2 linked regions of the Cricetulus griseus genome follow. The protein of the gene in region 2 purifies or fractionates together with the protein of the main gene of each other region. This does not show direct contact. Links are inferred from orthologs where the notes say so. Each region holds a gene or a part of one and is shown on either strand. Other genes may lie near its edges.

Evidence for each region. Proteins that work in one complex are often made in the same cells at the same time.
Region 1: the proteins of Slc7a11 (region 2) and Cd44 purify together in Homo sapiens (affinity purification with western blotting; 3 studies listed by BioGRID and IntAct, with this or other methods). This does not show direct contact. The link is inferred for Cricetulus griseus from reciprocal best matches to the Homo sapiens genes SLC7A11 and CD44.

What each region holds. Positions count from the first base shown.
Region 1 is NC_048599.1:74,823,092-74,826,747, reverse strand, and holds part of Cd44 (CD44 antigen), read right to left. Parts: intron 3,070-3,656; coding exon 2,941-3,069; intron 1,497-2,940; coding exon 1,374-1,496; intron 1-1,373. UniProt on the Homo sapiens protein: Cell-surface receptor that plays a role in cell-cell interactions, cell adhesion and migration, helping them to sense and respond to changes in the tissue microenvironment.
Region 2 is NW_023276806.1:100,999,550-101,003,205, forward strand, and holds part of Slc7a11 (cystine/glutamate transporter), read left to right. Parts: intron 1-1,877; coding exon 1,878-1,993; intron 1,994-3,656. UniProt on the Homo sapiens protein: Heterodimer with SLC3A2, that functions as an antiporter by mediating the exchange of extracellular anionic L-cystine and intracellular L-glutamate across the cellular plasma membrane.

The sequences.
Region 1 (3,656 bases), on a different chromosome or scaffold from region 2:
TCCACAAGTTCTTGAGGAATGCTGGCCTTTATCTAACCACTAGAAATCCTCCTATAGTCTAGATTGAGCTCCTTTCTGGATATTTGGACTGCCTATGAGATCTAACACCTTTTACTTGATTATTTACCTATGAAATCGAATCTTTCTCTCTTCTTCAGGTTGGACACTTAATAATGATTCTGGAGGTGTTTTGCTGAGTTTATTTATTTATTGATTGATTAATTATTTACTTTTTAGAATGTATTTCAGTCAGATATGTGTAGAGCATATGGCTGACAATTTATATCCAGAAAATACATCTAAATGAAACTTCTCTGAAAAAATTTACAAAACCCTGTATTTGGTTATTTTGGAATGTTACATTTTTGTGATAAGGATATTTTGTTTTAAAAAATGTAATTCTGCTCATGAGTATAATAGAAACCCAGTCTTCCAGTTGTTGAATCCTAAGAGGACAATGGCCACCAATTCTTGGTGTTTCTCTCAAGCAGGTTGCTGCTGTTACTTTTAACAGGAAAGTTGCTTTTAAATGTGCAAATTAGTCAAATAATTCACAACCCTCCTTTCTTGCAAAACTACAACTAATACCTTTTGCTTTCTCTTTTTAAATTGCTTGTGTTTCAATAAGAATGAAAGGCATTAACAAAATAGGAGTTTTTGTCTCATGTATAAGTTGTCTATTCATTAAGTTCATAGCCATTCAAGGAGGGCCCAGAATGGTCTAAATCACTAATATTTCAATACCACATTATCTCTAAATGAGGCAACAATAAATAACTTTACAGAGTCATTGCATTGTTTGTTTACATTAGCTATTCACCTTTTTTTTTTCACAAGTTAGATTTGTATACCAAAACCAAAATTTATCTTTGAATCTATAATGGATACAGTCACATCACTGAATCCATTTTTATTGTTTCTTTTGAAATCTTTGTACTTAAAAAGGAAGGAATCTTAAGAATATCCTTTTCTTAGTCAGGCATGATAGTAAATGCAATTGCAGCATTCAGGAGACTGAGGCAGGAGCATCATCAAGAATTGATGACCAGCTTGGGATATGTAGTGAGACCATCTTAAAGTAAGAAACAACCCACCTGTCTCCTAGGTGTAAGTAACTTCCACTCTTGTCAGCCTAAGACTGACTAGTCCTTAACCTTCCTGGCAAATTCTATACTTGCTGACCAGAACTGTGCACACAGATGATGTGCATATCTATTTCATACCGATTTGTATCAGCAAACTAATTTTTGAAAGTGCACCAGGATGCTTAGGAAAGTAGACTGAACTAAAATCAACAGTACATTTCAAAGGGAAAAGACACATAGTTGATTCTAAGAAACATGGTATATTAAAAAGTTTCAGATGCCGTTTACCCTTCCTTTCTGTTTGATGATCTTGTCCCATTGGATGTGAAATTGGGTCGAGGAACTCAGTCCAGGAGACGTTCTCTTGACTCTGGGTTGTCATTCTTTGACTTGGATGGTTGTGGGTTGATGCTGTTGTCACCATGCAGTTCAAACAATCATCAAAATGTTAATTGACATTTGGGCAGGGATATATAGACTGGCTTTTTAAAAAAAGACTTTATTCTCTAGAGAAGATAATGAAAATCACTTTCTAGTAGTGAGGACAAAGGAGCTGCATCAGTTTAGAATGTTTTCCCACGTTTGGTTTCATTTGTGTTCAATTTCTTGGTCACCAGCATGTAAGTTGGAGGATGCATAGCATTAACAAGTGCTGTAATGGATAGAAGATGAGTTACAGGCATCAAGGGAGGATGAAGTAATTGTCAACACAAGCTGCCACAGTCCCCTAAAGAAAGCCTTGTAAGAGCTCAAGTGCATGATGTCACTCTGAGACAATCACCTCCCACAGTGAAATGCATGAGCTGGTAGTGATAAACAGAAGACATCAGGTAAAGGCTTCCCAAGGGATGAGCATGAAAGTGCTACTTCTCACAAAAGCACAGAGGGGGTCCATCAGAAACATTGCCTTCTAACAATGAGAAATGGCATGTAGGTACTCGTGGATTATGCCTTTGTTTCATTCTGTGCCATTGGAGAAGTACAGGAAGAAAGATTACAGTAGCATTCCCCAGAAACAAACACACCAAGGAGCCAGTCACCAAACTACTAGTGATTCATTTACAAGTTGCCCTGCACTGCAAAGAGGTTATGTATCAGATTCCACATTGCAGATGGAAACATGGAGATATTTCCCACTGATACCAAGTGATAATGTAGAATTCACACACTTTGCAGGGCAGGGTGAATCACAACGCTTAATCACACAGACAAAGGAATCATGCAGAGGGGCTTGCAGAGACATGTTATCATCTGGCATCCTTCACAGATGATAAGACTTAAATCTAATTCCCACAACCCCACAGTTCCAGAATGGAGAAGATGACTTTATTTGTAAATGTGATTAAGCAGTTGTACATTCGAGGAGATATTCAAAACAGGTAAGAACAAAAGGTCAGATGACATCACCCAGGGATCTTTCTTTTTCTTCTAATGCTTGAATCCACCCACAACACTAGATTTCTAATAAAATTCTTTCTTATAAGCTTAGTGCTTTACAAAAATATAAGGAAAAAACAGACTTGTATTATATAGTAAGTGAGTTTTAGGAAGCAGAAACGGGGTTTTCATTAGAGAGGGCCTTTGTCATTGTCTCACTAGGTGATGCCTCAAACTAGATATGAAAACCACACACGTAGAGACTAAATCTATTTTTTTCATGTGCGTCTATCTATGGCTGTCCAGGTAGCTTGTTAAGAACATTAACACTCTGGATCTATGTTTACTTCAATGTGATGTATTAAGGAACCAAACACCTTGGACAATTCCTTCAGTGTCTTTTTTTGTGTCGACTTTCCAATGCCCAGTATTGAACTCAGAAAGTAGTTTCCACCCACATTGTGAAACCCTCCATTACCAGTTGCCCCTGCTGTCACATGGGAGTCTTCAGTTGGTGTGGGGGAGTACTTCCCCTGCCATCCATTCTCAAACCACTGCTCTTGCTGAGTAGCAGCTTCTTCTGTTGTACTACTAGGAGCTGCCTGGGCTGTGAGGAGAATGCTGATGGTGAGCCATATTGTCTAGGTTCTTAACAAACCCTCTGATATGTCTGTCTACATTAAGGGTAGAGATAGATAGGTAGGTAGGTAAGTAGGTACATACATACACACACACACACATATACACACACACACACATATATATATATATATATATATATACTATATACATACACATATAGATATATAGATGATAGATAAATGCTACATACATACATAGATACATGGATGATAGATAAATACATACATACATGCATACATACATTCATAATAGATGATAGATAGATAGATAGATAGGTAGATAATGACAATAATAGTTGGTGATAAGCTACTTATATTCTGAAAGGTAGATTCCAGAAATAAAAGTTTTAATTTTCCAATCCTTTAATTTTCCAGATGGGAAAAGAAATTTCATTTGTTGAAAGTCATGTACCCAGAGTAGCACAAAGTCAGGATGAGACCTTAGCCTGTATATTATGAAGTCTAAGTATTCTTGTTTTAATATTGTCTGTAGCCTCACATATTCTGCCAGAAAGAGCTTCTGTTGGAAGAATGATCTCTGTGTTCCAGTGAT
Region 2 (3,656 bases):
TGGCCTGTCAGGCTGTTGAGCTACCCAGACTGATGTCTTTCGACTTCACTCCATCTTCATCCATTCATTGGTTGTGTAACTTTATCTAATTACCAGTGTTTCTATGAGTGTGATCATTCCATTTGCAGTGGACAGATATGGTGCCCATTCATTAACTTATTCTTTCCACAAATTGTTGCAAATGGCAAATGCAAGATAAAGAGATCTAAATTGGAATGAACCACAATTCCTGCTCCTAAACAGCTGATAATCAGATGTTGCCTTAATTTAGGAAGAACTATTTTAGTGTGTGTGTGTGTGTGTGTGTGTGTGTGTGTGTGTGTGTGTGAGTGTGTGTGTGTAGCCAAATTACCTAAATAAATTCCAGAAACTTGTAAATACATTTGTATTCCTTTTTGTCATACTGGACTCACACTGTTGGAGTAGTCTTTCAAACACACAAAATAACATATGACATGAAAAAGGACATGATCCCCTAAGTACATAAATGTTTCTTTTCTATTAGTACTACTCATGACATCTAAATAGTAATAGATGCAGTCTCTAAGGTTAAAGGTGTACTTTCAAAATAAGTCTGTATTGCCAGAAATAACCTTCAAAATGAATTCAAACACAGTCACCCAACAGAACATGATGGGGGCTTCAAAGTTAAGTTCACTCATTCATAATATGTTCAATAACTATTGAATTTCTACTGTATGACAGATACTGTGCTAGCCAGTGCACTGGGATAAAATTCTGATTAGTGATAGACACAGTCTTGTTCTCATAGACTTCAAAGTCAAGTGGAAGTAGAGAGTTTCAATCTGGGAATCACCTTAAGAAGAATAAAAAAACTGCTGTGATAAGCAGTGTGGAAGGGACAAATGTGGTGCTGTGTAGGAAAACACTTGGACAGACTCAGGCAAAGGGTTGAAGACACTTCTCTGGACCAAGACTGAACCCAGATGCAAGGTATAAAAAGTAACTATTTGATGTTGCCCTACATGTGCCATTCATGGCAGAAGCAAAAGCAGCTATTTGAAAAAGCTCTGGGCAGAAGTGATTGAGATCTTGATCCTGAGAGAAAGGCAAAAGAATTAGGAGAAGCTTGGACCGGAGTGTCAAAGCATGGTTTAAGGGTACCGAAACCACACGACCAGACTTCATTTTACAAACCAAATGATAGAAAATGGCAAGAATATCCTCTTTGGAGAAAAGAGAAAGGGTTCTTTAGGAAGAGAAGAAAGTTACAATGTTTGTGGTGGTGACTGAAGGTAGGAGACCCAGGCTGGAGACAGGTGATGGTGGTTGGTTTCTGGTAATCCAGGGATGAGGCCTGGGTGTTAGGTAACCACAAGGAGGAAGAGAAGCTGTAAGAGACTCATGAGATGTTAAGCAATTCTGTGGGTTTCCTTGTGTGTGGCAACAATATGCACTCATATTGAAGATGAAATGAAACACTCTTTTTTTCCTTTGAAGAACTAAAGTGGGATGACTTATTGTCTGGGTTTTCTTCTCCTCAGGCTGGGATTTTTTGTCTTCTTATTTAGTGGTTCTCTCTATATAAATATTCTTAAGAAATTAAGAATATTCTTGTGGCTTAGAGATTTCTTTTTACTAGCAAATTAAGAGTCAACATTAAATATTTAGACACATTTTGGCAATGAACTCTTAGTAGTACTAATTTTCACAGAGATTTTTTTTTAAAAAATAGCCATTACTTATATAGACAATATTTCATTTGGAATGTATGGCAACTTAATGAAATATGAAGTTCTAAGACTTCCTTGTTAGTTAGGTTCCACCTGTCAGGTAGTAAGACCTAAAGATAAAAAGTTTTAGTGAAACTGTTACTTAGTGTTACCTGAAGTTAACCTTAATACATTATTTCTTAGCCCTGGAGCTACCGCTGTGATATCCCTGGCATTTGGACGATACATTCTGGAACCATTTTTTATTCAATGTGAAATTCCTGAACTTGCAATCAAGCTCGTAACAGCTGTGGGCATCAGTGAGTATTGTAGCTATAACAGAAAAGAAGAATGTAATGTAACAATGTGATTAGAGGCAAATTTTCTTTAGCATTTTTGGGGGGGGGACATAGTATTTCCCAAATTGTCTTCTCTGTGCTTATGGTTTCAAATCTGTGTAGGAAACTAGAGGCAAGAACAGAAGATTTGAAGTGGCCTCTTCTATTACAGTGTGTGCTAACTGTATACAGGGTTCACAAGTGTGGGGCCTGAGCTTTTAAAGTAGACAAAGACTCCTTCCTGGGTAAAATATTGAATGGATGGTGGATCAAAAGACAGTCTCACAGATGACGAATTCTGAGGAATTGCTTTTTAAACTAGAAATAACCCTATGCCAGTGATATGTGAAATTATTACTCACCAGTAGTCCTTGGGCTATGTTTATATGTTGGGTGTGCATATTGTGTTTGTATTGTTTATAGTGATATTGACTGTCACCCTCACTGTTATCATTTTTCTCTGCCTATTTTTGGTCATGATAAGAATTTTCTCTCAAGATTTGATAACCAGTAGCCTTTCTCAGCTGGAATATTTGTTTATGGGCTATAAATTAGGAAGTTGTTTATTTTTTTATTAATTGGCATAGACATTTGGAAATTGAAGAAACAGATAAAATGAAAAGAGGAACATATACAAGATTCCATAAGCAATTGTTGTTTGTTTTTTACTCTTTTCTCTTTGGGGGGCCCAACACCCAGTTTCTACATAAATCATACAAGCCTTACCTTGGCTTGTTTCTAGGCAACTTTTCTTAACTTAAACTATCCCAGTCTACCACCAGGCTTTTTCCTTTTCTTACTTCTGTGTATCTTTTTTTCTTTTACATTTGTTTTTTTTTTTTCATTTTTCATACCAACCACAGTTCCCCTCCCTCCCCTCCTCCTGCCCATGCCAACCTTCCCCTCAATCAACCCCCCACTCACTCCTTAGTAAGGGTGAGGCCTCCCATGGGAAGTCAACAAAGTATGGCATATCAAGTTTAGACAGGATCAAGCCCCTCCCTCCTGCATGGAGGCTGTGCAAGGTATCCCTCCCTAGGGAATGGGCTCCAAAAGTCAGTTCATACTTTAGGGATAAATCCTGGTCCTACCACCAGTGGCTCCACAGACAGCCCAAGTCACAGAACTGTCATCCATATTCAGAAGGCCTAGTTCAGTCCTATACAGATTCCCCAGGACCCTAAGAGAGACATGCAGGGATGCCCCTGGGAAGGGGAAATAGATAAGATCTTCTGAGTAAAATGGGAGGGGTGTGAAAACATGAGGGAATGAGATGGTTGAGTTTGAGGAGAGATAGAAAGAGCAAGGAAATAGAAATCCCCATAGAGGGAGCCATTATGGAGTTAGGGAGAGTTCTGTTGCTAGAGAAACTCCCAGGAATCCACAAGGAGGACCCCAGCTAAGACTCCTAGCAATAGTTGAGAGGGTGCCTGAACTGACCTTCTCTTGTGATCAAACTGATGACCACACTAACTGTCATCATAGCACCTTCGTCTAGAAACTGATGGAAGTAGATGTAGAGATCCACAGCTAAGCACTGGGCCAACCTCCTAGAGTCCAGCTGATGAGAGGGAAAAGGGATTATATGAGCAAAGGGTCAAGATCATGATGGGGAAACCCACAGAGACAGCTGACCTGAGCAAGT